Linked DNA regions of Daphnia pulex. The main gene of each other region encodes a partner of the protein of the gene in region 3 in a complex. Links are inferred from orthologs where the notes say so. Each region holds a gene or a part of one and is shown on either strand. Other genes may lie near its edges.

Region 1 (7,433 bases), on a different chromosome or scaffold from region 3:
GCGGGAGCCATAGCTCAACAAAAAGCAGACAAAAACTGTGGGAAATGTGTACGAGAGAGAGAGAGAGAACGTTGTACATTGCTTCAGGTCATTTTTTCAGCTTTCCAGTCCTGGACAAAGAAGAAGTTTTAGGGGGGAGCCATCAGAAGAAAGAACTCGACTTCACGATGTGCATGTGAATGATTATGCATGATGAAGATATGAAAAGGTCTGTGATTGATGTTATGAATAACTAACGGTTGATTGTCGCTTTCCTGTTACAGGTCCTGAAGGACTTGGTGAGCTCACCGGCGGACAGGATCCCGTCAGCGGCGGATTAAACGGTGGAACTGGCGGCAGTGGTATCGGGGGAAGCGGCGGAAGTGGATCAGGAGGAATTGGAGGAATTGGCGGAATTGGCGGAAGTGGAAGTCAAGGAAGCGGAATTGGCGGAAGTGGATCTGGAAATGTTGGTGGCGGATCTGGAATTGGAGGAAGTGGATCTGGAAATGTTGGCGGTGGATCCGGAATCGGCGGAAGTGGGTCTGGATCTGGAATTGGCGGAAGCGGATCTGGATCTGGAATTGGTGGAAGCGGATCCGGCTCTGGCGGCAGTGGATCTGGAAGCGGCGGAAGTGGAAGTCCCGGAACTGGTGGCGGATCAATTGGAAGCGGCGTCAGCACACCTCGCCCAACTCGCCCTACTCGCCCAAGTCTTAACGTTGGAACCGAATTGGGAACTGGATCAACTGCATCAACTGGCAGTGGGAGCGGCGGCAGCAACACTGGGCTCATTGGCGATGGATCAGGCGGAATCAGCGGAGGCGATCAAACCGGTCCTACCGAAAGTGACATCAACTGCGACCGTACTGGAACCTGTTACGATGGTAATCAATTAATAAAAAAAATAATAATACTTAACAATATTCGAATTTTAATCTTATCTTTAGTCGGAGTTCATTGTCGTGATACCAAGATCGAGGTTCTCGTTAAAACCAACCGGCCCTTCAGCGGGCGCGTTTACGCTCTTGGCCGCAGTGAAACTTGCAACATCGACGTCCAGAATAGCGACAGCTTCCGGTTGGACTTGACCATGAACGGCGGTGACTGTAACACCCAATCCATGTCGGGCATGTTCACCAACACCATCGTCCTCCAGCACCACAGCGTCGTCATGACTAAAGGAGACAAGATTTACAAGATTAAATGCACCTACGACATGTCGCCGCGCAACGTTTCCTTCGGCATGATGCCCATCAGGTATAACAACATCATAACCACTTCATTCCCTCTCCATCCGATCCTTATCTAATCTCTTTTTAATTAATTTTTGGGAAAACAGAGATCCGGACATGATCAGCATCACTTCCGCACCGGCTGCCCCACCTCCACGCATCCGCATTTTGGATCCCACCGGTGGCGATGTCGAGACTGTTCGTATCGGAGATCGACTCATTTTCCGCATTGAAATTCCCGGCAACAGTATGAAACGGAATTATCATTTTAATATTGCAACATGAAAATAACATCATTGTTCTTTTTTAAAAACTCAGCACCATACGGCATTTTCGCTCGCAGCTGCCTTGCCATGGCCAAAGACTCCAGAAGTACCTTCCAGATCATCGACGACGACGGGTAAGAATTAAATCTTGAATTAAATTGCTTAACAAAATCTAATAATTATTCATTTACTTAATAGTTGTCCAACTGATCCATCCATCTTCCCTCGCTTCGTTCCGGACGGAACTGCTCTGCAGAGCACCTACGAAGCTTTCCGCTTCACCGAGAGCTACGGTGTCATCTTTCAGTGCAACGTGCGATACTGTCTAGGACCTTGCGAACCGGTACGATCGTATACGCCCTATTTCAATTCAAATAATGTAATAACGAACCATTGATGGATTGCAGGCTAATTGCCAATGGGGAAGAGACACGATGGAATCCTGGGGACGTAAGCGCCGTAGCGCCGAGAAAGTTGAAAAAACCGAAGAGGACATGACCATGTCTCACGAAATCCTCGTTCTTGACTTTGGAGATGAAGATACGAAATTCAGCCACCGACAGACTGCCACCTTGCCGGCCAATTTCCCCAACAACAGTAAGATAGGCGGGAAATTTGAATCGGTCACGATAGGAATGAAATTCTAATTGATTTAAAAAATGTAGGTACTTACACAGTCCATGAAGAGACGGTGACCGTATTCAACAGCACTTGCCCAACAAAGACGTCCGTCCTGGCGTTGGCCGTCACATGCGCTCTTCTCTTATTACTGTACATCTGCACCGTGTTCTACTTCCTCATGCGCCGCTGGTTGGGACCCGACAAGAGCGTCTAAGATTACAAACCCATCTAATCAAGGTGGAATCCTAATATCTAAAAACACGGGACATTTTCCAATCGTGAAGCCCTCCTAAACATAATCGTTATCCATTCGTCGTCACGGAATTTCGCTAGATATTCATTGTTTCTATTTATCATTATTTTTTTTTTTTGTTAATTATTATTTGCTTGATTTGTTAAAGCAGCGCTTTAACATGACTTCCGGTTAAATCTTTTTTTTTTCCTTCCTTGGTGGACCTAGGGAACGGGGTCCATTAGTAATTTATTATCCTATATAATCTTTTTAGGTGTTTCAAAACTAGCCCAGGGCATTTTGTTGAGTGGTGCTTACGGCAGATCTTATCCTGGTTTTCTCTAGCACACTTGTTTTAATGTAAATATGATTTGTGGGGGGGATGACTTATAAATGAAGTCTACAAAATTTTAATATTCTTGGGAAACCGGTTGTAGTTGGAAACAAAAAAAAACCGCCTTTATTATCGAATGTTTCTTCGTTTATGTTTTTCCCTGCCCCAGAATAAAACTTTGTCTGCAGTATGAATAAACTGATCCACACCATTAATGTTTGGGAAATCGAATGTCAACTTCTGGTTCAGCCTGAGCCATGTTTATTCGAAAATTAAATTATTCTTTTTCCATTTCGAACTGCTTACGAACCATTAAAGCGATTTCTTTTATCTTGTCCGGTAGGAGAAGATCCTTGATCTACATAAAAGCATTATATAAGTTAGCATTGAATTATTTAGTTTCAATGTAAAAATAATTACCTCAAGCCCAGCATTTACGGAGGCTTCGTAGGCATGCATAATGCTGGTATCATAGATCATCATCTTGCAGTGCGCCAAAGCTGTCACACAATTCCTTAACCGGCTTATAGCTTGTCGATCGGCATGCGGAACTGTCTATAGGTTTCAACAGAATTAGCTTCCACGTGATAATGTACAAACATCGACTTTTTAGTACGCACCTCCAAGTTTTGAACAAATCCACCGGCGCCATCGTCAAGGAGCGTAGGGCAGATCCAAACAAATCCATTGTTACCCATAATGATACTTGCTCCGCAAGGCAAGTTGTGGAAATGAGTCTTCTGTCTTCGGATCAAAGATGGACTAACTTTTATTAGGCAACCTTGGGAAAGCTATAACAGATAAATGGTTGTTATTACAGTTAATATTTTAAATAACTTATTGTTATACTTTTCCATATTTCATGCTGCGGGTGTGTAAAGAAAGAGCTCCATCATTGAAGATGTTTTGAACCTCTGCACTGACCAAATCTCCTTCTTTCAGGTATTGCCTCATGGCTAATTCATCTTCTGCTGATCTTCTTCTCTAAAAGCATTATGAGATATAAATATTTGTGTAATTGCACAAATAAAAAGTCTTTCTTACGAGTTCACCACCAGGCAAATTGACTGACTGAAGAAGAAGCACTGAATCTAATCTTGCATTGGTGTCCAGTTTCCAACGTTTCTGTGAAACCTCAGTAACCCTACCAATTACGACATCTCCAATCTCCCCATGATAACGAGATTTCAAGGGTCTAACTGAAATAAGTTGGTTGACTCTCTCCACAACTCCAGCAACACTGGAGTACAAACAGTCATCTTGCATGTATGTTCCATGACCCCTTAGCAAAACATAAAATAAGATTATCATCAAGAAAATGGCAAAACTTTTAACAATCTACCTCATGAATCCTGTTTCCTTTGTGATCAAAGAGCCAGGTGTGACAAGATGTTTGGGTTCAGTAGAATCAGCGACGATATGAAAAGGAGGCACTTCAGAAGCAAGGCGAATGTCTACCATTCTTTTGGTTTTAATTATCCTAATGTATCAAGTTCAAAAAAAAGGAAACAACAGCACACTTGAAAATGACAATAATTCATCGTGTTCTGCTATACCATGCTGCTACGTTGCCTAAGCTATGGCGATATCAAAATATTTAAGAATATAAATATTTGTGGATATTCTTGTCAAAATGATATTGTGCAATTTAAATCGACTAATTAACTTATGTTCGAAATGGAAAATATAAAGTCAACTGAAATTTTTTTAACGAATCAAATAAAACATTGCGCGAATCACATTAGTATTAATTTTTGCCATCAGATGTCTGTTTGTTTATATGCCGATTCATTTCATTCGTCCGTACAAGTAAATGTCACTAATTTGCCAAAAAGCAATACTTTTTTCAACAACGATATGCGTTGCTGGGCGACAACGAGTATCTTGGCACTTCCTTCCCAAGACTGCTCGCAGAGGTTGGCAACGTAACCTTGTCTCGAGATCACTTCATCTCCAGCATCGTCCCGAAATGGAACCCGACAGTGATGAACAGCAGAGAACGGAACTGTTAACGACCCTTGAAAATTTCAGATGGCTCGGAAGTAAAACCCCTTGTTTCCCTGTGAACGGAAATAAGGTTAGTGTTCTAATAAGGTATTTTATTAGTGTCTTCTAGTAATAGTTGTAAAATTTTTTCTTAGGTTCGAGTTTTGTCTGATCCTGAAGATTTCTACAAAACACTTATTGAAAAGACTAGTCAAGCAAGTCAAAGAGTCACTTTTGCATCCTTATATCTTGGAACAGGAAATCATGAAAATGAGCTTGTAAAAACAATTGAAAGTACTTTGAAGAAAAACTCTGGCTCCAGCCTGAAAGTTCGAATTCTGTTGGATGCAACAAGAGGCTCTAGAGGTGCCCAATTCAATTCCCGTACAATGCTGCTTCCCTTAGTTCAGTCCTACAGCCAGCAGTGTTCAGTCCATTTTTATCACACTCCAGCACTTAGAGGATTATTAAAGAAAATTCTCCCAGAAAGATGGAATGAAATTATTGGCTTGCAACATATGAAGATTTACATATTTGACGATTCCTTATTAATCAGTGGCGCAAATTTAAGCCACGATTACTTCACAAATCGGCAAGATCGATACATAATTATGGAAGATTGCAAAGATTTAGTGGATTTCTTTGACCAACTAGTAGAAACTGTGTGCCAGTTTTCATTTCATTTAAGTGAAAACAACTGCCTTAACTTGAATTCCGCTTTTCCTCACCATCCGTTTGAATCCAATCGGCTTGAATTTACAGAAGAAGCAAAACGGAGAATCAACAACTTGTTTGAAAAGCAAATAAAAGCAAATGTTTCGTCCTCGATATTTCAATGGCCGAATCCGTCTGCTTACGACACCTGGATCTTCCCTTTCGTCCAGATGGGGCAGCTAAACATTTACATGGATAACATCTTGACGCGCGAGATTCTAGAAAACGTACCGGCAAACGCCGAATTATGTCTAGCAACCGGGTACTTCAACCTGACTCAGGACTATATGGATAGTTTGCTAGAAGCGTCCCAGCCAAATGTTCACATTCTCATGGCACATCCTCTGGTAAGCCCCTATCACCATTCAAACAAACGTTCTCCCATTTAATTTGATTGATTTATTCCCAATAGGCCAATGGTTTTTTCGGGGCGAAAGGATTCGCAGGTGGAATCCCATCAGGTTATACTCTACTGGCTTACCAATTTTATCGACGAGTGGTTGATCGAGCGCTGGAAGCTCGCATTCGATTGTGGGAATATCAACGACAGAATTGGACTTTCCATGCAAAGGGCTTGTGGATCTCTTTTAATCGAGGAGATCCTCGACCCTCTTTCACTCTAGTAGGATCTCCTAACTTTGGTAACATGTTTTCGTATTTTTGTCAAAAATTCAAACGACTGACACTTTTTTGGCCCGTAGGATATCGTTCTGTTTATCGAGACTTGGAAGCGCAATTGGCAGTAGTGACCATCAATCCTACCCTACGGGATCAGCTTCATCGAGAACGGAGAAATCTCTTTCAGCAAGGCGACCTGGTCAACGGTACGACTTTTGATCACCCGGATAGAAAGATACCCTTGTGGGTTCGCTTCGTCATCAAAGTTTTTCGGAGATTCTTCTAGTAAACAAACAAACAACAGCAAAGTAATCTTAAGACGTTGTTGTTGTTGCACTCCCGGTGATCCGATCCATTTGTTTGTTTTTGACCTCCGTGAATAACGATGGAGTGAGAAATAGAAATGCAATTCTCTTTACATAATCGTGAGTTGCATGTTTACTACTTTGACGAACCTAAATTCAAGAATTTTATTGCTCGTATCTTTTAGTGAAAGTAAAAGAAAAAAAAAAACAATTTGACGGTTGCATTCATCGTATTTACTATCGTATTTACATTAAACTAAATGATTTTAAATAATGAAAGGCATAACCCAGCGTTATTTCTAACCCTATAGCGTTTTTCGTGAATTGGTGCCGACCGACAGTTCCGTACGACTTTGAAGGTCAAAAGCTGAAAGAACCATGAACGAAATGTATCTCTTTTGAAAAGAAACAGTCATCTCAGCATTTATTGACGGACAACAAGAGTTTTTAATGTTAACATCTATTTTACCGTTATGTCAGCGAAAGTAAAAGATAGCACGAGCAATAGTAGCTGGTAATCGATAGTCCGAAGACTTGGGGTCCAACGATAAAATTATGGCAGTCCAATACTCCAATATTTACTTTAACTCTTACTACTAACAGCTTAATTAAAAAAGAGTGAGAGTTCCGCTTGCAACTCCAACTCCAATGTTATGGAGTAGGATCATGTACCCAAATATTCGTTGAATAGTTTATATCTAGCTCATATTACATTGTGATTAAGAGTTGCTTACCCGACATGTATTTGTTTTCAATCTTAGCCCATAAACAGAAATGAAACATGCATATCTGGGTTTTCTCATCTCTCCCGTGTAATGGAGTAGAGTAGAAATCCTGACGTGTTTATTGCAACGGTAAAGATTTCGATTAGAGAACTGCTGAAATTTAATTAATTAAAAGTTAACTGTGCGGTAACAGATTGAAGCCAGATCTAGTTGTATACGAGCAAACTTCACCCTGTTACAGTTATTTAATGTCCCAGTTCGGACGGCTACGGATATTCAATTCGAACAACTGTAGTGCTTTTAATAGAACTGGAGGATATACGGCTCGAACACGCAACCTGACACGTGACAGCATTGTATTCTGCCGCGCTCCCAACTGCGCTACTGCGAGGCGATACCCTGAGCGAAGTAGCGAAGA
Region 2 (7,230 bases), on a different chromosome or scaffold from region 3:
TTCCTTAATTCTTCTACTTCTACAGAAGGAAGCAGAAGGAAACGCGCAGGTAGATTCAAGGTTGCTACACTTGATCCGTCGTGTGGGACGCTTAACATTAACAATGCTTTTGTGTTCCTGACTATATTCTGTAGCTCAGGATCAGTAGATTTCGAAGCTAGGGAAGAATAACAGCTAGTGAATATTCCGAAGAGAGCGGATCCACAACACCCTACCGTTAATTAGAAGTTGTTTCAATAGCAAGCCTCCCATGGAGTGTCCAACCCAAACAATAGGTCGACCTCCCACTCCAGCTAGCTTAAGTGAAAGCAATATTTGGTCTGCTCTAGAATTGATTGCACTCCTATTGTAATAAATGATTTATAACAGGTTAAGATTTCTACTTTGTCTCAAAGCAACCAATACAAATCCCCCTTATTCCGATTTTTATGCTTCCATTACCTACGTGCATCATCCGGACATCGACTCTTCCAGTGTGACAGAGAAGTCGCATAATCGACACCTAGAATTCGGAGATCAGGAATGTCAGCCGGTAACCAGTCCCTGTAAAATAATAAATTCCCATTGAAATTAGTAAATAAATAAAGATTATAAGGGTGTAGCGGGTCAACACAACCTCCTCTTTTATGGTTAATCTTAACGACTCGCACATGAGTAATCATAAACTTTACCTAGTGAGCCAGCATGACATCATAGCTTATTATTATTATTATACCTTGGCCAGCATTCGCTATAGTCGCTATTCATGCCGAGTAGTTCACTCTGCCGCCAAGTCCATCCCACCCCTCCAAGAAGTCCATGAACGAAAATAACATCCATGCTCCATTTTTTTGCCTGTCGAGTGTCGATGCGATATATGAATGAAATATTAACAAGTAATGTAAAGAAAATTAGTAAACATTTATGAGACTAGCAAAACATAGCGTAATTTGACCAACTACATTTTGTCTAACGCAAGGTTTCTTGCTTTCATCCTTATCCTCGTACAACGGATGCAGCAGGTAAACTGATCTATCATATACTCCACATTTGCGGCTATTTTGGTCCATATTAGCTAGAGCTTTTCCAGCAGCTAAATTTAGAGAAGCATGTTGAGGACCAAAAAATTCTGCTAAAAGGCCAATCCAACCTGTTTAATTTTTTAGGTTAAGTTAATTTTTTACGTAAAATTTATTACGTTTTAAATTCTTATACAGTATACCTGATTGAAAAATCTGATGATGGAGCTGAGAGAATAAAGAGATGTTCACAATTATATTAACACACAATGCTTTGAGCGCTGCTTCCTTGTTGAACATATGCACGACTCGCCAGAGCGCGACAAGAAGTCCATTTTGCACCATTAAAATTGAGGATTCGAATGAACGAGACAGTTCCAATAAAGCTTGTAAGTACAGCTCTACGATTTGAACAATGTTTCCCGGATGTATAATTCTAGCAGTATCAGGATCCCATCTAAGATTGAATTCCTGGAATAACAAATGAATCATATTATACAAGTTTCATCAACTACTACATAAATGAAATACTTACTTCATCTTTGTCTTTTTCAGTAATTTTTTGAGCAATGCTAAGAAAATATGTAGCACAAGTGTGTTGATTGGAGGTAGGAATTTTGTCAAGAATGTGGTTTAACACATCTTCTATGGGCTATAATAGAGGATATAGGATTGTTTAAAAGACACATCATTTATAAGCTTTTAAATATATAATTTAAAACCTCAGAGGTTGAAATTATGTAAGCAGGGGGTTGTAGGAACAAGTTTAGGTTAACATTTTTTGTTCTTGCCAGTTTGACACTAACCCTGAAATCACATGCTTGGGCAATTTGCTGGGATAATCCAACTATATTATATAAAGAATAATCAGCAGTTATTTTACACTTTATAACCATAACCATAATCTGTAAATAATATATTTGAAGATACCATTATAATGTGAAGTAGCCAATGTTTTTAAAGCAGTGGAGTGTTCTTGAGTATGAGAAGGGAGTTCTGATTTAAGAATTCGAAGAAGATGCCAGGGATTTGAATCAAGACCAAGATGTGTTGGTCCCTTCATAAGAGTCTCCACCATTTGTTCAACATTTTTCAGTTTAGAGGTCATAGCATGAATCTCAGTTTCAATTACAGTTTGAGGAATAGCAATATAGCACCCAGCCTTTTGACGTTCTCTCTCAACTGCGGCATCTGACAATAAAGATGAAAACCGGCGGTTTAAAGAATGAATTTGGTATGCCAGAGTAGTTCCTCCTCTTCATAAAAAAGAAAAGATACATTGTAGTTTTCTATATGCTGATTACAAGAACTCGCTAGGAATTGAAATACCCAATTATAAAAATGACAGCTAGAGATTTCGGCAAATTTTTCCATTTCACTTGGCGATGTTTCCTCATTTTATTTACATGCTTGAAAAAACTATAAGAATATAAATTATGATTAGAAAAAAGGAACTTGGAGAAAATGAAATGAATTGAACAGAAACGCAAGCAGTCGACAAAACACCAATAAAATAAAATCCGAAAAGCTTTGTTGTCAAATTTCATGTATTAATATAATCTAGACGCCTGTTGCATTTTCGTTTGAAATTGTTTCTGGCGAAACTTTTGCAACTTTTCTCAATTCTTTAACATAAGTTTTTGGGCACTGCATTTCTTGCCATCCTACTGGAACCATAGGAGTACCTTCTTCACTGTATGCTATAACAACACCCAATTCATTTTCTGCTGTTGACAAAACATAGGAATGTGCATCACCTAATGAGAGCTAACAGCAACATGAAAAAAAATTTCATCTTAGAAGTCATACTCACTTTACAGTTGAAATAATGATCAAAATCAAATAATTACCACTCTTGCTAAAATAATGTCATTGGGACGAAAACATTTGTACATTTCAACCCTGTCCTTTTCTGTAGCACGCACATCTTCTTTCCTCAGCTGTCCTCTAAAGGGTTCTGCCAATACAATGTCCTTAACACACAAAATGGCACATCGTGCCCAGCGAGGATTTATTTGTGTTACTCTGGCTATTTAAAGGTTTAAGATGAAATTCACAAAATTCAACACATAATTTAAACAGTACCTGTAACCACATCACCAGCAGATGGAACAACTGTCTGTTCTTTACCACTTCTAACCTCTATCAGGATTCTCTAGGAAGAAAAGTTTGAACATAATATTCGGAAGTTCATTATTTCACACCAAATGAATTGTTTCACTGATCTAATTTCACTGTTTAACCACTAACCTTATCAGGTTGTGAAGTTACTTTAACAACACCTGCTAAACATGATGTGATATAACCTTGTCTTGTGTAAGTTCCGGCTCCTCCAATATATTGGTTATCCGACAGACATATGCGTTGTCCTGAAAAATGCAAACATTTTATCAAAATGACAACTAAAAAAATATGTTTTTTAATATTACCGGGAGTGCATATTACACATTTGTCTGATTCTTTATTCGTCATTTTTTTCGCACACCAGAACAACTTCGAAGTTAGAAAAAAACGTCGACTGCTGGGCGGCTCACGGGTGGGGTTCGTTAAGTGTGCACACAGCATGAACTACTCTAATTAAGGACGGTATATTCTTCGGCGTTTCCTATGTCGGCCATGTAAATTTTTTTGTGGGAGAATCAGAATCAGAATTTAAAAATTATCATAGAATTACCATATGTTCCTATAGGGCTCTTCGGGATCTGTTTTATTTAGCCGATTTATCTGGCAACGCAGCATGGTTCGAGACTTTTTTAGGGCTAGAACGGGGAGAAGAGGGAGGATGGGAGGAATGGGAGGGAGGAGGGTGTCCTCCCATTCTCCCTCTTCTCCCCGTTCTCGCCCTAAAAAAGTCTCGAACCATGCTGCGTTGCCAGATAAATCGGCTAAATAAAACAGATCCCGAAGAGCCCTATACCTAACATTTATTTTTATAGAGATATTTCCAATTCCTTAACGAAAAATTTGAAATAGGGCAAAACACCAGTGCCATCTAGGAACCAAACCTCCTAAGCTCTTGTTAGTTTGCAAGCAGATGCCCATGCATGCATACCGAGAGAAAGAAAAAACCACTCTCTTATCTAGTCCTCTGACATAGCTGCCTAACTATATTTTACCTTGTAGCGTATATTCTTAAGAGCTTAGGGTGTTTGGTTGCTAGATGGCACCGGTGTTTTATCCTTTTACCCCTACTTCTGAAAGTAAATTTATAATATCTTAATGATTAGTTTATTTCACTAAGATTTATATCTATAGTTGGAATCAGCAAAAAAAACTGAATTTAATGATATTTTTTATTAATGTTTTCATGAAAATACCCCACCCGACTAGCTTTAACAAGGCAGGATAGGCGAAGAATCCCGTCCTTAATTAGAGTAGTCCATGCACACAGTCAATCTCCCAATAGACGTTGCCAAAAGTCACGTGATGCCACATTTTACCCAATAAGATGATGCCTTGAGTACTCTCGACCATGCCTACTCTCGACATGGTACGGAAAGTGTGTTTAACAAAGCCAGGGGTATGGAAAGACCCCCATACCTTTCTCTCCATACCCCTGACAAAGCTGCCATGTCCCAGCAAATTGCGTGAAATCTATTGCCATGCCGGTCCGACAGGGCAATAGCCATAGAGAGCTATTGCCCTGTCAGTGCTAAAACCGCCACCTGGCGACGGCTATTGGTAGCCTTTCTGAACCAAGAACAATCTTAATGGTAAAACTTTTAGGTTTGGTTTGGGTTTTTAAAATAAGATGCATAGGGTAAAATTACAAACAAATTTTATGACAAAAATTTTATTTTTTCGAAAAACACATGTCACGATATGATGTCAGCTACCTGCGTTATTAGCAAGGTATCCGAAGGGATGTTTATGATTTTTTTTTCATAAAAATCAATCAAATAGCATATGAGAAAGATGAACTTCAAAAGAAAAAAAATTGTAGCGTTTTTGAATCCATATGAATACTATGTAGAATTAACGACTAGGAAAGTTATAATTTAATATGGAACGTTTAATATTGTAAAGTTATCCCAGAAAATTTTTCATTTAATTTGTTTTCTTATGATTATAAACCTTAATCTGGAATAAGTTAACACGAAAATAATTTCTCGTTTTTTTTTATTTTACTATGTTTGGATCCAACAAAACTAGAGTTAAATTAAAGTAAGCTATTGTATATTAATTATGGATATTTTATAAAATTTCGTATCATTATGGATGAATAGTTTTAAAACTCGTTTATAGTAAGACATTTTTGAAAAACGCAACGCATTTGTTGGGTTTTTACCTGGTTTATTTACAACAACAAAGTGAGTCACCCTTAGTCTCCCCCCTTGACCTTGTTCAGTTGGTTGGTTGAAGGTTGAGCCGGAGTTCTCAGAAGTCAGAATGGGGTGCGAGGGGTTGTTAACGACCTTGAATAAACATCAACCAGCAACGTGACTCACCCTATCGACCTTTTCTGCAGATTGATTCCCACGTAACGTGTGAATCAAACAAGAAATACATAGGCTACGAAAGATTTGAACTACTTAACCGACGGGACTCCCGTTCTTCCGTCTCCCGTTTTATGCAGAACTGGCTGCGCATGGTTCATCGTTCACCCTCTTACGTCTGAGAGAATTAACGGAAATTCAATAGTCTAAAAAAAAAAAAATCATGAACACAGGAAATATTGCCGTCCTGCTACTTTAAAAAAATAAAACTGGTTCACGCCTGTTGCACTGAATCGTTCCACTTTGAATGCTTTTCTTCCCCCGGGTCGATTATTTTTTAAGCACTTCAATCACCGCATATTAATTAACAAAATAACATTAAGTTATATTTTTTAAACAAGACGGATAGTTCACTGAATTTTAATGATCGATCTGATTCCGTGACATTGAAATCTTTCATCTTTCTACCTATGTATTCCTGCGCCAATTATATTTTTTAGTTTATAGAGTTTCGTTTATACAGTTTTAATTAGTGTCCTGCCTTCGAATTTTACACAAGAGTGTGTTTACCGTCACTCGTGTACTATCTCTCTCAATTGATTTTTATGATACAAGAACCACCGAAAATGTTTTTTGCTTGTGTAAAAGATCACCCTCTCAATCACTGATTTGTGATTTGTGATTTTTATGTTTGATCCACTGATTAGTTTTCAGATTTCCGCGATGATTTCTTTTCACATTAAAGTGCACCGTGTCTTGTATAGCGTTTTAACTAGCACGTCCCTTTAACCTTTATTATGCCTTTTTAATTGAATGATTACTTTTTTGCACTTATTTGCACTGAACGAGATGAAACAAAACGCTTACTGTTATTACGGTTATCTAACCTGAGAATTCAGTAACAATCGTAGGTATAAGAATCATCATATCCATTATAGTTTGTGATGGGGACATAAATTATTCCACATACATGATAACACTCACATGATTCGTGAGTCGTGAACGATACAATTTAAGAAGGTGTAATAGGCCTTGACTAAAGAAAAAATGCAAAATGCAACATACGTAAAGTAAAATGCAATAGCCGTCGCTAGATGGGGTTATTAACACTGACAGGGCAATAGCCATAGAGGGCTATTGCCCTGTCGGACCGGCATGGCAATAGGTCCGACCTCCACCAGAAAATGTGTTTACACGGGTAAAAAAAATTCAAATCACTATTTAAACATGTTCTACATACACAGTAATGTAAAATAGCCGTCGCTAGATGGGGTTTTAGCAACCAGTTTTTAACGCTGATTCTCATAGTATTATTATTTTATTTTTAAAATTATAATCCCCCCGTAATCTCTCTTCAAAGATGAGATAAGCTCCCCCCACTTTAAAACGGACCCCACACCATTTTTGGTGGGCGATCTTTAAATGTGATCAATTTGCAGACGACCTTCACCCAAATAACCCTTTTCGTGCTGCCTATGGCTACCTACAACCCTCTTTTGCCTCTAGGGCGTAAAGGCGAAATGCGGAAAGGCTGATTTGGATTTGAATGATGGTCGTCTGAAAATTGATCACATTTAAAGGACCGCCTAGCGAACATGGCGGGGGTCTGTATTGTTCTGCGAGGGGCTTATCTCAACTTTGAAGAGAGATTACGGTAGAAAAATATAATAAAAAAAAAAATAAAAAAAAATGCGAGAATCAGCGTAAAAAACTGATTCGAATGATTATGATCTCCACCCGATCCCTTATTCATGCAAAGACCCTTTTCGATGGATAGGGAAGTTGTTTAGAAAATA
Region 3 (8,484 bases):
CGTAGCGCCACTTGCAATCCTTCCAGAAAAATGCTATGTGAAACTTGAAAGAGTCGTATCTATAATGGCGATTGGGCTGAGCTAAAATCGATAAAGGAAGAGCCGGGTTAGGGGACATAGAAACAAGGAGAAGCCTTTATTGTTTTGAATGGCCTGGCGTAGTGGCGTTTCTAAATAATGTGCCGGTCTGCTGTGGACCAGTTCATAATCTAGATTTGAAAGCACGTCACTTTTTGATTTTTTTTTCCCTGTATGTCGGCCATGTTAAAATGTAAAATTTTTCGTTAGAATAAGGATTGCAGAGGACTCCATCTTTGACACGATAAGCTCATAATTATTAAGGAATGTTTTTATTTTATTTTTTAGGTTAGAATCTTGGAAGAGGAAAGCTTGTCCCCGCCATCTTGCGTCACTAACGTTCTTTATTGTTTCAAATACATTTTTTTGAATTCTTGGTGGAATCGATAAAGAGAAGAAAGAAGTTGTTATAATATTTGTTTCGCATTACCAGCAACCTGGATGAGAATTGAAAACAAAACCCACGAGAGATGAGATTATTAAACCTACTTCAATTCCTGGCAGACGATTATCTTCCAAGAATCGTTGATGTTGTTGTTGTATGTTATTGATAACAGTCAGAACTACAGAACATTTGCAATTTTACATTCCACAGCTCAAGTAAACCACACGTAGGCCATACGATGATTACATTCTATGAAATAAGTCGCTTTTAAGTGGGAAAATGTTCACACAACTCTTATTAACAAACGTTTTTCGGCACAGGGTCAACAGTCGAAATTCAACATTTTCTGTGATGATAATGAAGTACACGTTGCCCACGGCAGAGGGCGCGATATCTCGAACTTTTCTTTATGTTTTATTTAACATACAATCGTCTTAGAAAATCAACTGAATTTTGAAAATACTTTACAAGTTAAACTTGTTTTACTTTAAATTATTTGTGAAAGCCACATGGTAAAAATATTTTCTATAAAAAAGAACCAGCAACAAGGGAGTTTAGAATTTTCAGGAGACATGACGGCCCTCTCGATCAAGCGCGTCTGGATACCGTTTTCGTAGCTTGAGGGAGAATAACAAGTGTGTTTCAACGACGAACGACTTGTGTAGGCTTGCACTTTTCCTAAAAACTCGATTGGATACATTGAAAAGTAGCTAAACAAAAGTCAATTATTGCGAAGAATTAAGGGGAGATTTCCTCCGTTTTCTTAGTAGGTTGTACGGTAATCGTGAGATTTCAAGTAAACAGTTTGTTTTGGCTTACATACGCAATTCGTGAAAAAGCGTCCACAGTTCGTTGTGTACGTTGTAGTGAAAGGTAACTTTCGAGATTGCCTTTGTTGTGACTTTCGATCAATCGTGCGAGGGAGCACTCAGCATATTTCAAAGATGAATGGGTTTAGCACGGGTTCGGGTGAGGAGGATTCGCGTGATTCCAAGCGAAGCCATGATCAACATTGCTGCCTGATTGAATTTGATCAGATGATTGACGATGGCGAGAGATGTCCTAGAATGGCTGGAAATGCCTCTTACAGGTATGTGTGCTCTAATTGATCAAGAAACATTATTTTCAACATTTGTTTGATTAGTAAACGGATTCAAAAGACTGTACAACAAAGGAAACTACGGCTACACATGGACTCCTCTGTAAGTTATTCACACAAAGTTTCAGTAGGGACAAGAAAACCCCCTATTCAAGGGTCCTTCGTGTCCAAGTAGAAATTACCTGTCTTTTGCATTAGGCTTTCACTTGGTCACAAATTGCCCTGGACTTTTAAAAGTGTTGGAAATCCTGAGCATTCCCTCCGCTTTTGGAAGACCAATAAAGGCACAACCACTGTGGATGTTCCCTTGTCAGTTTTATTCAAGATTCATGAAGTATTATTTAACTTGTGCATTATTATTCTTAATTATAGGCCAGACACATCTATATTTGTGATTACCACAAGAGCTTAATTCAGTCTGTTCGAGTCCGGCAGCGCAAGAGGAAAGATTCTGAAGACGACTCCAACGAAACAGATCGAGACACGCTCAGTCTGCAAGAAAGAGAACGTGATGCTCCAGAAGTTGATCTCTTCCAACTTCAAATCAATACGCTAAGGCGTTACAAGCGACATTACAAAGTGCCCACTCGACCAGGCCTCAATAAAGCACAACTTGCAGAGGTACAGATATTGCCTAGTTAACCTACTATTATTATTATTAATTACTTACCAATAATCCTCGTGATTGAAATGATAGACCTTGATGCGCCATTTCCGGACTATTCCCGTGGTGGAGAAGGAAGCCCTCCACTCATTCCTTTACACCGTCAAATCTAATAAAAACAAACTCGATCTGAAACCAAACAATGACAACTTGTAAAACCGTGGTCTGTCTATGCTTCAACCCCTCCCCCAGTGCAAATCACGTTAAAGCACGTTTGTCTTCGAAATGATGAACTAGCGAAAGGATGGAACTCAAAAATATGCGTGCGTCTGTTGTTTTCTCCTTGGCATGTTTTAATTATTAATTTAACCTTGTAAATTCAAATACATTCGAACGAAAGGTTTAATCGGTGCATCATAGTCATTTTATGTAAGTTCGCTGGTTACCAACATGACAGGCTCCTCTTCACTATCATTTCCAACATCTATGTAATTAAGGAAACGGTGAGAAAATTAGATTTGAATGCCGATAGACGAGATACAGGACGAAACCAATGTTTTTACCTATTTCTTCGTAGACCCTCTTTTTTACTGCCACAGGTGGGAGTGGTTCAACTTCCATCTCACTTTCGCTGCTGGACGTATCGCAAGAGGTTTCTAATGTAACAACTCCTTGATCGTTTACAAGTTTCGTCTTCGTGATTGCCGAAGGTTCTTTTTTCGATACTTCAGCCTTATGATGTGACGCCTTGAAATACACTTCGGCCTGTGACTGAGTGGTGATTCTTTCTGTTTCCAGCGCTACGCTAGCAACTAACCCACTGTACTTTCCTTTGGCTCTACAAATATTGCAAAAAGAGAATGTTATTCACTTTCGGGTGCCGAAGAATTAGGCTGAATACCTTTCGGCGGCATCGTCAGCCAGAGATTTTTTTAACATTTCAACCATTTGAACAGCTCTTGATGCTGCCACATTCGCACACGATATAACTGCTTCTTTATGGATAAACACCCCATCGCCAGATATCTGTAATGTGCAAAGTTCTCGGTATGCATTTAAACCCATCACAAGTTTTCCATCGGCAGAACGTTCTTCTAAATTTGTTGGGTCCAAGACGCAAATTCTCCTATGGGGAAAGTTATAAATACATTTTCCAAAGGGAAAACAAAATATAGCGATCTAGTTACCCTTGGTTAAAGAGAGCAAAGGAAAGAGTTAAAGGATGATGTAGGATAGTGAGTGGAACTGGATCCCGTTCATCTAGCTGATGGATGATAACATCCCGACCATCGAGAGTTACATCCGGTCTTTTAAAGTGACAAAGAGCGCCTAGAGCAGCCAAAGTGGCAGCATCAATCAGATTTCCTTCATGATTCAGTACATGTATATCAACTCTCACTTCCCAAGCTTGTTCCTCAACCAAAATGCACAGGCTCTCCAAATCAATGCAGCGGGAATCTGTTTTTAAAATAGTTAATGTAATAAGGGCCATTGATGTATGAGTGGCAATGTATGTACATTACCTTTAATGCACCTTTCAACTAGCCTATTGACTTCAATGCCTTGTTGTCCTAATCTGCCAGCTTCAAAATGTTCAGCTGCCATAGTAGACATTTCAACATTGATAAACAGCATGCCTTCATTTGCTCTTGATGATTTCGGGACTTGGACACTGCAAGAAACTTGCGCCATCACCCTGACAAAAGATTCATTAAGGATAAAACACGTTAGAAACAAGTACTGAAAAATGACACTAAAACATGATACCTTGTGTTTCCAAGAAGGACCTGGCAGCATCCCCATTCTGTTCCGAATGTAATACAAGTCTTTCTCTGTTCCGAGAGACTACGCCCGTCAACTCTCTAAGAATGAATCGTAAACAATGTTAACAAAATTCGAAAAACAACAACTAGACCTGTGAGAAATACTTGTCCTTCTTTGACGCCTTGGATTACAGTTTGTTTCTCACAAATCGATAGCGGTGTTTCTTTCATTTTAAATATAAACAGTTGATAACTAAACCAGTGTATAAAAGAATTAAGCACTATTTGACGATGGAAATAAAAAGAACGAATAATTCTGCCCGACTGAAAAAGAACAATATTTAAGCAGACCACGTGCGTGAATGACAGACAACGTTGCCACTCGAAATCTTTTCTCTAGATTTAGATAGATTTATGATTATCTTAACTTCTATTCCTAAATATCAGGAAAGATAATTTTTCATTAAAAAAAACTTAAATTTTATAATAATACAATTATTTCCAATATTTTGAAGCAAACCAAGCAGCAGCGTTTAAAATTTGGAACGATCCGTTACCACGGTTACGGAAACATGGAAATCAAAACAAGCACGGAAGAATAGTATTTTTTCTTATAAACGCTGAAAAAACAATGTTTCGTTCACCAAGCGCCAGCTCTTTGCCACACTCAAGGTAAATTTATCTTTGCTGTAATTTAAGAAAAATCTTAAACATGTACATAATTTCTTGTTTCCAACCCTTGTAAATCTTGAAGTGCAACCCAAACGCGCTTCATACAAAATAGAATTCAAGTAATCGAAAAACACTTTGGTGAGATCTGCACCGCTCTAGCGTTATACACTAGAAAAATAGCCGGGTTAGTTTAATTATACCTTAATTCGATGGTGTTCGTAATAAACATAACCTGTGAAATCTAAATTCAGTCAGCGGGATAAAGGCGATTTTCTGGCACAGACATTAAATGAGTACGCTACAGCAGAAAATGTCAACAAAAATTGCAGTCAAGGTATCAAAGACTTTGCCGATAACATTTCTTTCATTTCAGATTACAGGTAAGAGTTTGAATTCGTAACGAAAAAATTAGTCAAATTAATTAACCGACTTTATTTTTAAAAAGAGATGTTTGCGTTAACCGTTTGGAGGAAACTGTCATCCAAGAGATTTCAAGTTACGCGGGCGTCTGCAAGTCGGCCATGGAGGACGTCCGAAGCTGTAGCATTGCGTACGAAAAAGAAATAAGTCAATTAAAATACGTTCACAAGTTACGGCAGCAAAACCCGTTGGGACGAATGCAAATAAGCAAAGCGGAAAGTGATTTAGCACACGCCACAACACAATCTGTCCGACTAGGCAAGTCTATAGAGGAACGAGCCGACAAGCTCGAAAAGAAGAAGCTCAAGGATCTTATTAGCTGGATGAAGCGATTGGCTTTAATCGAAATGAGTTTTCACTCAACGTCGTTGTCCGTTCTTACAAAAGCCTATCAGCAGTTGGAAAACGTCGATGTGGAATCAGATTTGGAAGAATTCCGCAACACTTTAAGGACCTATATGCCTCTTCCAGAATCCAGTCCTGCCAGAGCCCAATCTGTGCCGTCAATTGCGTTGCCTAACACACCAACAGAAACTGCGTCCAAGGTCAAACGTTCCAAGTCTTTCTCTGATTACAGACAGCGAGCCGAGGTATCTATTCATACTAAATCTTGGAGTGTTGATCAGTTCTGTGATATGGATTTTGTTTTACAGTCCCTGGATTCACTGAAGGTGGAGGAATATGAAGAGTTAAAACAAATGGAAGGCTCAGACGATGACGACGAAGAATCCGAAGAAGAATCACCTCGCCCGCGATCTTCTCACGTCCGGCGCAAATAGCTGTTACAAATAAAGAGGTCCAGAGTCTGATTTATTTCAAAGGTATGTTAAATACAAAGCCAGTACAGGGAATCTTTAGTATCTCTTTTAATGCTGTTGACGCTTGATGCGGCGCTCCAATTTGCGTTGCTTCTTGTCATCCTGTGCATCCTGCTCTGCAGTTGGGGCTTTCTGGAAAAACCATGGACTAAGGAAATGTTTCCAAGCCAAGTGAAACAGTCGACAGGGAATCTAAATAAGATAATTTTAAGTAATAAAGAATAATGAAATGAATTTCTGAATAACTTACCACCAACAAGATAAGCCAAAAGTAACTGGAGATGGAAGACAGAACCTCGGTTGCACTTACTAGGATAATGGCATCTTTAATTTGCCTTTAATAACAAGAAAATGTGTTGACATACAAATTCATGAATCAGATCACAATTGAAAGCTTACTCTGATATTCCAGATTCCATGTTGAGATCAATTCCACCATCTAACAATTGTCCTGTTTCACTGTATTTGGCTCTAGCCATGTAGGCCATAAAGCGATAGCAGCAAAACTGAGCAAATGAACTCAGACATATTAAGAACTGAAATTCAAAAGAATGTGAGCTATAAATATTAAAATTTTAAATAATAATTTAAAAAAATCAACTATACAATATCAAATGAAGAGGTGGTGGACCAAAAAATGGCAGAGAATAATAAGTATACACCCACTGCCACAACAGACATATTTCTGTAGAAGTTGAGTGTTGCAACATTCTCTTCGACAATCTGTTTCTGGCCCTTGGTGGCCTGTTTTGCGCTCTTCTTTTCCTAAAGTAAGGGAAGCAAAAAAAAAACAAAATTACTTTACTTTGATTGACGGATGCAATGAAGGGATAATCGACGACACTTTCTCTCTTTGAAGCTAGAAAAAGTAAACGTCATGCAAGAGTAACGAACTGAGATAAATTTTCGGAAGTTAATTAGTTATTACAGTTAATAAATAGGTATTAGCGTAGAGCAAAAAATTCTTACAGCTGTCATTTTTCAGTTAAAATTCGCCGACAATCAAGCTATTCTGCTGTTGTTATGGCAACCACACAAAGTTCCAACTCGTCACAATGTTGCAAGTCTAACACAAATACAGAGAAAATACGAAATAACAAACCAGGAACTTATTCGAATTGAATTTAGATCTTTAAGAATTTTCCTTCTCCATTACAAAACGGTATAATAACTTTAAAGGTTCTTTGTAAAACTCTATCGAGTAAAATTACTTAGGCTGCCATCTAGCGACATTAATAAATACGATCCCTGGCTGGGCGCGCGCCAGTTTTCTAGATCTGAAATCTTTTTTGCTACTACATGTATCAACAGCAATCAACAATCAATATATAAAATAATTATTCGAACCCTCCTACTTTTGACGCAAGCAATCACGGCAGCAGAGCTCAACCTTTTTGCTTAAATAAACAATAAACTTAAAAAATACAAAAGGAAAAATAAGGAACTGCACGAAGTTTCAGGAAATGGTATCTGTATTAAGGGGCTGTCCATATATTACGTAACGCAATTTTTCACCTTTTTGGACCCCCCCTCCCCCCCTTGTCACGGATCGTAACAAAAAAACAGACACCCCCCCTTCTAATTACGTAACAAAAAACAAAACCCCCCCAGTGAATTTAAAAATACAAAATACAAAATTTTCTTGATTAAAGCCATGTATTTGATGTTACATGGTACAAACTCTTAGATAGGCTCAATAAAGAAGATGAAGGCGATAGCGGAGTACTAATCGATATTTTTGCCACTGTTTTAACTTTTTTTAATTGAAAAAAATTTTCGGCCTTGCTACGTAACGTTTTCAAAACTCCCCCCCCCCCCTGTAACATTTCGTAACACTTTTTGCAACCCCCTCCCCCCCCTCATCGCGTTACGTAATATATGGACAGCCCCTTAAGCAGCACTAGTAATAATCAATATCGGCTGTGTATGAATTCATGGCGTCTTATGAGTTTAATGATCATCCAATCTCCAAACACGTGTTAAACATTATTGCGACGGTGCTGTAGCTTCACATACAAAACGGTAACCAAAACTAGCACAGATACGGGATGCATATCCTCCACTAGGATAATCTTCTTCTACGTAATTTAAAAGAATGCATCGATTTGATACGGCCTCTTTGTCTTTCACTTTTTCAGTATTTTTCAGGTCGTCGAAAGTGATTGGTTTCTTGTTTGAGAACCATTGCCATTCGGTATCATTATACCTCCCAGCCGTCCAGTACGCATAACCTTTCAATTCTGCACAAAAACATTTAAGACGTTAAAATGAATTATCTGTAACAGCCTACATAGCAGCTAAATGAATTTGTCAAAGTCATTTTTGAAAGATAACGTTGATAACAGCTCTCCAGAGGTAATGGAGGTGGCATTATACACATACCAGGTATGTTCATAAGATGCCGACTGATCACACTGTCTTCTTCTCCTGTTTCAATGGCTACAAGGCTCATTCCTCCTTGAGTGCACATGTAATTAGCGTTTGACCAACATTCCTGCAAGTAATGATTGATTTGTTAGTGAGATTATTTTTAAAGTTACTTTCTCCCTCAGCACGGGACATTATACCTACCATGTATAATGAGAAGCAATAGCAATTGCCATTATCCAACAACCAGCACGGAACGGCGGCATGGCCTCCGTATG
Region 4 (8,636 bases), about 7.0 Mb from region 3:
TTGAAAAACTCTCCAGTGAAGCTTTTGGTTTGCCTTGTCACTCACTTCTCTCATCAAATCGTTTCTCATGATGATTGAAATAATTTAGAATTTTATCTTACAACGAATGTGCCTTATCTGGAAGAATTGCCCACTTGCTTGGAATTCTATAGAAATTATGTGGCTCAAAATCGGCCAGTGATTATCCGTAATGCTTTCAACAGCTGGCCGGCGTTATCGAAATGGAACATTGAATACTTAAGGTTTTTTCCCCATTCATACTATTGTTATTTATCAACTCTTAAGTCTTATCATAATTTGACATTTTTTTGTTATGTTAAAGGCAGTCTTATGGGACAAAAGATGTCACAGTAACCATCACCCCAAATGGTTATGCTGATGCAGTCACAAATGGACACTTTGTTCTTCCCCTGGAAAACGTGATGCCCATGAACCAGTTTTTGAAATCACTGGAAAACCCTGTCGTAAACAGGGTGCACTATATTCAAACACAGAACTCCAATCTCACCAAAGAGTTTGCAGAATTGATAGCTGACTCTGCAGACGAGATTGAGTGGGCCTCAACATTGTTTGGCACCAAGCCAGATGCAGTCAATTTCTGGATGGGAGATGAGCGGGCAATCACATCGAGTACCATTACTTCCATCAGTCAAAATATCATAAACTAATACAGATCATTTTTCCTATTCACAGTGCACAAGGATCCCTATGAAAACATGTACTGTGTCGTTTCTGGATACAAAGACTTCATTCTCCACCCTCCCACAGACCAGCCATGGATACCTTATGCAAATTATCCCAAAGCTAGTTACCAAGAAATCGACGGAGATTTGAAGATTGTTCCGGATGATGACGGAACCATTCCTTGGATAGATATCGATCCTTTGAAGCCCGACTTGACAAAATATCCCAAGTACAAAAATGCTCGGCAGATTCGATGTCGCGTTGAGAAAGGTGAAATGCTCTACCTGCCCTCGCTTTGGTTCCACCACGTCCGCCAGTCTCACGGCTGCATAGCAGTCAACTACTGGTACGATATGCAATACGACATCAAGTACAATTATTTCGAATTTGTTAAAGACCTGGTCAACTGTGATGCGTGATTTGCCAATAAAATGTCATTGCCTGTTGAACGCAGAGACGATTAAATTCTATGATAGGAATGTATTCTTGATATCTGGAAATCAATGGCACAAGACTAATCAATCCGGCGATGGTGAAACGAACGTAATGCTTTCTTATTAATTATTTATATATAAAAATTCCAAATCCTAGGATGTTGTTGTTTCTTCAGGAGAAGGTGTTGTGGTGGTGGTGGTTTTGAACGACTGAAAAGTGTCCGTGACCATCGGTTCTGTAACGGCTATTTTGGAAAAAATGTTCAGCATTAGAACTCTAAACCAGCATATCTAAAAAAATAGACAAAAACGTTGAAAGTAAAAATGTGTGTATACCTGGACGGAGAGCAGGATCGTTTAGATAGAAGAAAGTCGGCGACAAGGCGCAATCCACTTTGTCAATGTCCTGACATGTTAGCGTGGCTTGGTCAAACAGTAGCCCGGTTCCACACGTAAAAGTATGCGACACCACTCTGTATAATGCAATCGTGTTTTTTTTTTTTTTTTTCGTTTGTTTTAAAATTCTAAGCTCTCAGATATTTGGAAATAAGATATTAATCTTAGACTTGTCAAACGACTAGACACTCTGCTGGGTGTCGGTTACATTACCTGTTCTTTTTCCCAACTCCACAGGTATAGAATCGTCTGCAGCCACTGGACACGTCGGCGTAGAAGCCTCCGCCTCCGCCTTCCTCAAACGAGCACTTTTTGGCCAGAATGACTACATTGATATCCTTGGTCCATCTAATAAGATCACTCGAAAGACCTTACACCCAACTCAATTGTTCAATAATGTTCCTCCCTGGTTAAGAAGAGTAAAAGGAAATGAGCATCAGGTACTACAAAACTCAAAGATTTTAAAGAAAAGAGTAAATCTGACTATGTTGTTTCAAACTTAATTCTAGGTCCTGTTGCCCAAGATGAAATTTGTGCAACGAGAAGATTACCCCTCACTCATCCAACAAAGTGGGGCACGCTGAACTCTAGAATAAAAAAGCTTTACAAATATTTGAATACCAAAACAAAGTCACCCTTCTGGAAACATGCTTAGTGAATTTGTGTTTAAAGCAGTAATAAAAAAAATACATGAATAATAATTTTATTATAAATTGCTTATTATCTGAAATCTGAATGCACATTGTGTAATTAATTAGACTTCCAAGTTGAAAAGGCTCACTTTTGAAACAATAATTGCACTTCACACAGAATTCATGTACAGCAAGGTAACAATAAAGAAAAACGATAAGTCTAATCGAGAGGGGATATTACATGATGTTAGTCGTCGAGCTCGTTGATTTCCAGCTCAACGGAGAAGACGGCTTCCCAACGATATCGTACAGCTTCAATCTAATATGTTCAAAACATTAGTAGGATAAATAAAGGATTAATAATAAGACGGGACAAAACAAAGGAGGGAATCAAAATTTAATCACCAGTTGATCAACCGCCTCTCTAGTAGCCAAAGAAACTGTCCATTCGAGAAAATAATACCGGATCTGTTCCGGTTTGCTTACGATTACTTCGAAGTTTTCCTGAATAAAGAAAACAACCAAATGTAATGCAGGTGAAATAGACAAGATATTGGCCGTCATTTTACCAAAGAGACGAGATTGACAAGTTGCTGAAGGCTGAGAAGCGACCCTCTCCCCCTCCCACCCCACGTTCAAAACTGAACTTGATGGCTCGTCAGCCAACGAGGATCACCACATACTAAAACCATACGATAACTTGTGACCATCAAGGCTGTGTTGCTATAACTGGCCGTTTGCTGGTGATTTTTCTGTTGCTTACTATTGCCCCATTCGACCCGTCAGTTTACACAAAAGAGGAAGACGCGAGAATTGCTATCCGGCATGAATCGGGTACTCGTCCTCGTAGATCCTACACTACACCGTCCGTTTCACCTTCATCCGCAGATCCCGTCAAAACAGTGTCCTGATCTCCTCTGACGGAGTCCAATCAAAGCCAGCCATTGATCCGCCATGAGTACCGTCCTTAACGGCGGAACAGTAAATCCGGATTTCTCAAGAATATCTAAACCGCAGAATATTAGCTAAATAAAAGAACAACACAATAAAAATGATTTACCAGTGAGAAAGTGAGTCACGCGTTCTTGGTTCGTCTTTGATCACGAAGCAAAATGAGGTGAGACCAACTCGTTCCGAACTTCAGAACAACACCTCGGTTACCGATGACGATTAACATGTTAACTAGTTGATTAAGCGGGTAACTTGTTTCCAAACTGAGCCACTTTTCTGGCTGCTCACTGTTAATAGAAGCGAGTCGCATGATTTTATCCACAACCACCTCGACTTCCTTCTTCCGAAGTGTCGGAAGCCTCCTTACCGCTGATGGTGGGTGAAGACGGTTCATTGGATGCTACGATGACGTCACTGCCCGGAAGATTACTCGAGGATGGAGTTGATTCAGACCCAGACACGTCATTATTAGGAACTACAACTGGGCTTTGCTGCTGCTGCTGTTTACGACCTATTAACAAGGCATCAAATAAAACTGTTTGATCTAACACAAGAGAACTGCGTTACCTTTCAAAAGAGGAGAATAAACTGTAGAACATCGCAGCTGGATAGCCGCTCCAATCAAAGGGAATTTTCGGTCGCATTTCATGCAGCTCATATCGTCTCTCAATAATCGATCCTCTCTCTCCGGATTGGCAACTTTTGACGATGACCCAGAGCAGCTAGCGAAAATCTTTTCCAGCTCCTAGAACAAAGGAAAATTAGTAACAAGATTTGACATTTCAACACGTAAATGATAATAAGACATTAAAATCGTCTTGTTCCTTGCGTCGCTACTATTGCGAATTGATTATAGCACAGTTAAAAATCTTGAGAAAGATATGAAGAAAAATATTGTGAGGTTACACACCACTGGTATCACACTGAATGTTTTTTCTTTCGTGTGAATGGTCAAATGTTTTCAGACAGTTTAAGTATTTGTGCGGACATTACGGACGGGCCAGTTTTTCATCAGTGATCTCGTATGTTGACGTAAGTTGGATCGGTCGTAAAAACGTCACATTTAAAGGGCTTCACTCCCTGATGTTGCCAGGATGACGTGAAGTCGCAAATAATCACTGCCTAAAAATGTTTTCACACATGTATCACAATTCACAGGTGCTAGCTTGGTCCCATAGTACATATTCATATGTCATACCAAAACATTCTTGTGATGAAAAGACTTTCAAGCATCTTTACATCCATATTTTCTTTGGTGTGTTGTGTCACTAAGCTCAGGATATTCCTGTAAAGAAAATATAATTATTAATGCTAAACCGTTTAGCATTAATAATTGTGACATTTTATCAAAATTATAACCTTATTGAATGCTTCCAAGTTAAAATCATCATCTCCATTCTCATCTCCGTTGGAGCTCCCTTCAGGGTTATCTTCTGCTGCTTCCTCACTCTCCCTTTTTATGTCATCAAAATTTTCTCTCACCTCAAAGATTGCAGGAGGCTCATTATCATTTTTTACAGCTTGTTTTATCATCTACAATGAAATTGGGATCACTTTTTCTTGCCTGTTTAAAATACACATCAAAATTAAGTCACACCATATCCGAGTCCATCTGCAGTGTCACTTCTTTAAGCACCTGTCTTGCGATATGGACCAGGCTTCCAATCTTTGTTCCAATCTATAAGGTTTTGAATGCAATTTGAGATTTAGTATATCAATACATAATTATATATTCTTCTACCCTAAAAAGAGGAAAGGCTGCTCAAAAAAAAGGAAAAAAAAAGTGTCTTTGATCTTGGCCTTGCTTTTGTTTACAGCTGTCGTCTGCTAAAGCGGCGGTTAAGCACTTGAAGATGACAGTCGTAACGATGGCAACCAAACGCGATGATTACACCAGATAACACGTAGATCATGTTTTGATTGTTTTTTAATTAAAGAACTCGAGGAAGGGAGTTCGCCTTGCACCTTCGTAGAGACCTGACGTGCATTCTCTTCTCTCTCTCAAAGTGCCAGCAGACTCACGTACTCACCGTATATACGCCCCCCGCTTTATTCCGACAGACAAACACGCGCGACCCCCCCCCCCCCCCCCACAGGCCCCCGTGTCAAAGCAATTTCCGCGCCAGGTGCCACCAACAAAATGGCCGACCGTGATGCCCCACCGCGTTCGAAAAGACCGTGCAACTCAACAGACCACCCCCTCCCTGTGATAATCAAACTCATGGATGACCGTCCAAACTTCAAATCAATGTCCTTAGCAGAACGTGAGGCCATGCGAAAAGCCATTTGCACAGCCATTGGGGACCCCCGGGACTCCACGGTACTCCCAGGCGGCGACCTATCCGTCAGCCCTACTGACTTGCAACAACAACAAGTACTACTCAACATCAAGACCCTGGCAGGCAGACCAACATCTAGCACTCTGCCCACCCGGTCAACAGCGAGGAAGGTAGGAGTAATTTTTGGTATCCCGATAAGTGACGCGGAGGAGGAGATTCTGGAAGCTCTAGCAGACCAGCACGTGACACATGTCAAACGGCTCCCGATCCGCAACTCACCAGGCTCCCCCTCGACAACAGTATCACTTACCTTCTTGAAAGAGGTCCCAGACAGGATCAAGATAGCGTCAATCAGCTACCCAGTAAAGGTATCGGTACCAAACCCATACAGATGCAGGAACTGTTGGAGACTCGGCCACACCGCCAACAGGTGCAACGCTAATGGCCCTAACTGCAAAAGATGTGGCAAACAACAACACGAGACACACCAAGAATGCTCAAGAAGGTGTATTAACTGCAACAACGGAGATCATGAAGCAGACAGCGATCAATGCCCTGCATACCAACAAATGAAGAGCATTATTAAAATGGCCTACCTGGAGGAAATCACCATACAAGAAGCTCGATCCCGCCACGCAAATCTGTACAGCTCAGTAACCAATCGAACCCCCACCCCAACCAACCGCCCCGCACCGCCGCCAACCCCAAGGAATGACCTGACAACCCTACAGGACCAAATAAAGGCCATCCAACAAGAGATGTATACCATGACTGCAGCCACCATTCCACAAATCCAAGTAAACATCCAATCGCTGGCGGTCGACCTAGAAGACACAAACAAGAAAATTAGTAAATTCGACCAACGGTTCAGCAGCATTGATAAGCAGCAACAGATCAACATGCAAATACAGCAAAACAGATTTGACAGGCTGGAAGAACTACTAATGGGGAGAGTTACAGACAGGTCCCACTCACCCCCACACGTAACAGCGGACCCACTGAGGACTACTATGAACCCTAAACTGCTACACCACACAAATGAACAGAGCCCCATGTTCAGCACAACCAGCCAATGGCCAGACGACATGGACACAGAAAATGATAAGTAGACACACAGTACACCACTCACGCACTACCCCAAACCCAACAAATAATTTCAAATGCCTCCAGTGGAATGCCAGAGGGCTCACCAAAGCCAAACTAGAAGAATTCCGGCAATTCCTATCCTTAGTTAAACCTGAAATAATCCTCCTCAGCGAAACGCACTGGAAGAAATCTTTCTACGTTAAATTCAAAGCCTACCATATCCTCAAGAAGAACCGCCCTAACAGATCAGGGGGAGGAGTAGCAATTCTAATTAATAAACAACTTTCGTTCACCCCCTTGCCCCTTACCCCACATGACACCGTAGAAGCCATCGGCGTCAGCATCCTATCAAGAAGCAACTCAAAAATCGATTTCATTTCTGCCTATGTTCCCAAAGGCGACTGTGAAATGGCTGACGTAGCGGAAATTTTCAACAGACCCAACCCGGTGGTTATTGGAGGGGACTTCAACGGCCACCACGACATGTGGGAAAGCAACGCAACCACCAACACAGCAGGGAAGACCATCTTCGAAACCATCCTCAACAGCCAAGACATATGCCTCATAACACCTACTGATCTAGGTACAAGGATCGATCCGGCAAGCGGGAAAATATCCACTATCGATCTAACTATGACATCATCTGAACTCGCCACCTCAGCAACGATTTCAATAGGTCCAAGCCTAGGTAGCGACCACCTCCCCATAATCCTCACGCTCAACACGACCCCAGCTCGAATCTCAAGACAACCGCCCAAATGGATCATCAACGAAAACAAGTGGGCAGACTGGAACCACCTCCTAGACACCGCACTCATAGAACTCAAGTTCTCGGAGATCCAGAACCCAGAAGCAGCCACTACAGCTTTCATGACAGGATTGAACGGAGCAAACGAAAAATGCTTCAAAAAATCAAACCCATCACGGGCAAGAAACTCAGAACCATCGCGGCCCTGGTGGAACGCAGAATGCAACACACTAGTGAAGAACGCACGAATTGCACTCAAAAACTGGTGCAAATCACCTACATCGCTACACCTCAGAACGGAATGGAAAAAAGCCGAGGCCCTGAAAAAGAGACACATCATCAAGGCAAAAAAGGAAGCCTGGTCCTCCTTCATCTCGAACCTCGGCCCGCAAGACCAACCCCGCCTCTGGACTTTCACCAAAAGCATGCTAGGAAAAGGATCTAACCTCTCACCAGACGGCCCCCTGATCTCAAACAACAACACAACGATAAACAGCCCGAAGGAAAAGGCCGACCTATTCCTCGACCGATTCAGCAGTGTGTACCCAGCCAATCTACCAACTAACGACCACTTCTACGCCACCATCAACAGCAACATAACATCCACCACCCACAACATCCTGAACGATCCAATCACACCGGAAGAACTCGAGAGATCCCTCCCCAAATCCAAAAGTAAAGCGGTAGGAGCCGACCTAGTCAATAATGCCATGCTCAACAACCTGTCACCGAAAAACAGGACCCATCTACTACACCTATTCAACACCCTATTTTTGAAATCCCATCAGAGCAATAGATACCTGGTCGGTTCTCGGCCGTGTTGGCTTCCCTATCCCGGTTTCAGGGTAAACGTGGTCCGATTTGGAAAAAATGATGAGCGCCTCTAGTGAGTGTGTCAGGTACTACGTGAAGCCAGCCAATCAGGAAGGGTCTATGAAAAACTCATTGACCAATCACAGCTTACTTTTCTACAAGAAGTGAACAAAATAAAAAGGTAGAAGTATCCAACTGTCAAACCTCTAGGTCTTTTCTAAGTGTCCCAACATTCTTACATTTTATTGTTTGGTTGCGTAAATTGTTTATTCTTTGTAAGTGTCCAAACATTCTTACATTTTATTGTTTGGTTGTGTAAATTGTTTATTGTTCCGTTGACATAATACACTACTTCTTGTTTTGAAAGTGTACACTTTTCACATTATAATTTTCATTTGGTAGTTGATCCATCGAAATGCAAAAAATCGTTTGTTTAATTTGATCAAAATACCATGTCCAATTCTTTGGTACCATTGATGAAGTTACTAGTGACTGAAATGTCACAAAATTAGACTTGAAATTAGTAGAGCTTGCTTCCATAGAAGGTGATGTAACTGTCGAATCTTCAATGACAACAGCAACATTTTCGTTCATAACATCAGGAAGTGGATCA

Evidence for each region.
Region 1: exosome complex component RRP45-like (region 3) and exosome complex component RRP4-like share a complex: the UniProt entries of both Homo sapiens proteins name them as parts of the RNA exosome core complex. The link is inferred for Daphnia pulex from reciprocal best matches to the Homo sapiens genes EXOSC9 and EXOSC2.
Region 2: exosome complex component RRP45-like (region 3) and exosome complex component CSL4-like share a complex: the UniProt entries of both Homo sapiens proteins name them as parts of the RNA exosome core complex. The link is inferred for Daphnia pulex from reciprocal best matches to the Homo sapiens genes EXOSC9 and EXOSC1.
Region 4: exosome complex component RRP45-like (region 3) and exosome complex component RRP40-like share a complex: the UniProt entries of both Homo sapiens proteins name them as parts of the RNA exosome core complex. The link is inferred for Daphnia pulex from reciprocal best matches to the Homo sapiens genes EXOSC9 and EXOSC3.

Annotation. Positions count from the first base shown.
Region 1 is NC_060023.1:8,699,000-8,706,432, forward strand, and holds exosome complex component RRP4-like, read right to left. Parts: upstream 4,243-7,433; 5' UTR 4,129-4,242; coding exon 4,010-4,128; intron 3,950-4,009; coding exon 3,712-3,949; intron 3,652-3,711; coding exon 3,517-3,651; intron 3,459-3,516; coding exon 3,288-3,458; intron 3,223-3,287; coding exon 3,088-3,222; intron 3,026-3,087; coding exon 2,945-3,025; 3' UTR 2,912-2,944; downstream 1-2,911. Other genes in the region: uncharacterized protein LOC124197887, read left to right, coding at 264-866, 930-1,239, 1,322-1,461, 1,533-1,614, 1,679-1,823, 1,888-2,077, 2,146-2,315; CDP-diacylglycerol--glycerol-3-phosphate 3-phosphatidyltransferase, mitochondrial-like, read left to right, coding at 4,481-4,744, 4,809-5,714, 5,780-6,008, 6,069-6,271. UniProt on the Homo sapiens protein: Non-catalytic component of the RNA exosome complex which has 3'->5' exoribonuclease activity and participates in a multitude of cellular RNA processing and degradation events.
Region 2 is NC_060026.1:7,114,044-7,121,273, forward strand, and holds exosome complex component CSL4-like, read right to left. Parts: upstream 3,583-7,230; 5' UTR 3,564-3,582; coding exon 3,428-3,563; intron 3,368-3,427; coding exon 3,249-3,367; intron 3,154-3,248; coding exon 3,084-3,153; intron 3,028-3,083; coding exon 2,849-3,027; intron 2,766-2,848; coding exon 2,559-2,765; 3' UTR 2,530-2,558; downstream 1-2,529. Other genes in the region: protein SERAC1-like, read right to left, coding at 1-157, 216-343, 442-543, 716-834, 942-1,129, 1,202-1,469, 1,534-1,650, 1,721-1,845 and 2 more. UniProt on the Homo sapiens protein: Non-catalytic component of the RNA exosome complex which has 3'->5' exoribonuclease activity and participates in a multitude of cellular RNA processing and degradation events.
Region 3 is NC_060019.1:12,891,732-12,900,215, reverse strand, and holds exosome complex component RRP45-like, read right to left. Parts: upstream 4,301-8,484; 5' UTR 4,161-4,300; coding exon 4,095-4,160; intron 4,029-4,094; coding exon 3,934-4,028; intron 3,863-3,933; coding exon 3,690-3,862; intron 3,625-3,689; coding exon 3,354-3,624; intron 3,293-3,353; coding exon 3,068-3,292; intron 3,005-3,067; coding exon 2,730-3,004; intron 2,651-2,729; coding exon 2,613-2,650; coding exon of another isoform or gene 2,592-2,612; exon of another isoform or gene 2,537-2,591; coding exon 2,396-2,536; 3' UTR 2,383-2,395; coding exon of another isoform or gene 2,260-2,382; 3' UTR 2,233-2,259; intron 2,184-2,232; coding exon of another isoform or gene 1,935-2,183; intron 1,666-1,934; coding exon of another isoform or gene 1,608-1,665; intron 1,565-1,607; 3' UTR 1,554-1,564; coding exon of another isoform or gene 1,408-1,553; 3' UTR 608-1,407; downstream 1-607. Other genes in the region: histone deacetylase complex subunit SAP30 homolog, read left to right, coding at 1,408-1,553, 1,608-1,665, 1,935-2,183, 2,260-2,382; protein FAM92A-like, read left to right, coding at 4,561-4,601, 4,684-4,785, 4,853-4,981, 5,047-5,611, 5,675-5,800; transmembrane protein 208-like, read right to left, coding at 5,888-6,031, 6,090-6,174, 6,239-6,375, 6,446-6,604, 6,809-6,817; C-type lectin domain family 7 member A-like, read right to left, coding at 7,826-8,079, 8,222-8,333, 8,411-8,484. UniProt on the Homo sapiens protein: Non-catalytic component of the RNA exosome complex which has 3'->5' exoribonuclease activity and participates in a multitude of cellular RNA processing and degradation events.
Region 4 is NC_060019.1:5,893,215-5,901,850, forward strand, and holds the start of exosome complex component RRP40-like, read right to left. Parts: upstream 4,925-8,636; 5' UTR 4,839-4,924; intron 4,838-4,838; exon of another isoform or gene 4,776-4,837; 5' UTR 4,695-4,775; exon of another isoform or gene 4,457-4,694; intron 4,383-4,456; exon of another isoform or gene 4,296-4,382; intron 2,221-4,295; exon of another isoform or gene 2,024-2,220; intron 1,955-2,023; exon of another isoform or gene 1,795-1,954; coding exon of another isoform or gene 1,728-1,794; intron 1,592-1,727; coding exon of another isoform or gene 1,455-1,591; intron 1,364-1,454; coding exon of another isoform or gene 1,272-1,363; exon of another isoform or gene 1,140-1,271; coding exon of another isoform or gene 1,139-1,139; intron 1,134-1,138; exon of another isoform or gene 1,104-1,133; coding exon of another isoform or gene 694-1,103; intron 631-693; coding exon of another isoform or gene 323-630; intron 243-322; coding exon of another isoform or gene 89-242; intron 28-88; coding exon of another isoform or gene 1-27. Other genes in the region: bifunctional peptidase and (3S)-lysyl hydroxylase Jmjd7-like, read left to right, coding at 1-27, 89-242, 323-630, 694-1,103; uncharacterized protein LOC124191515, read right to left, coding at 8,372-8,636. UniProt on the Homo sapiens protein: Non-catalytic component of the RNA exosome complex which has 3'->5' exoribonuclease activity and participates in a multitude of cellular RNA processing and degradation events.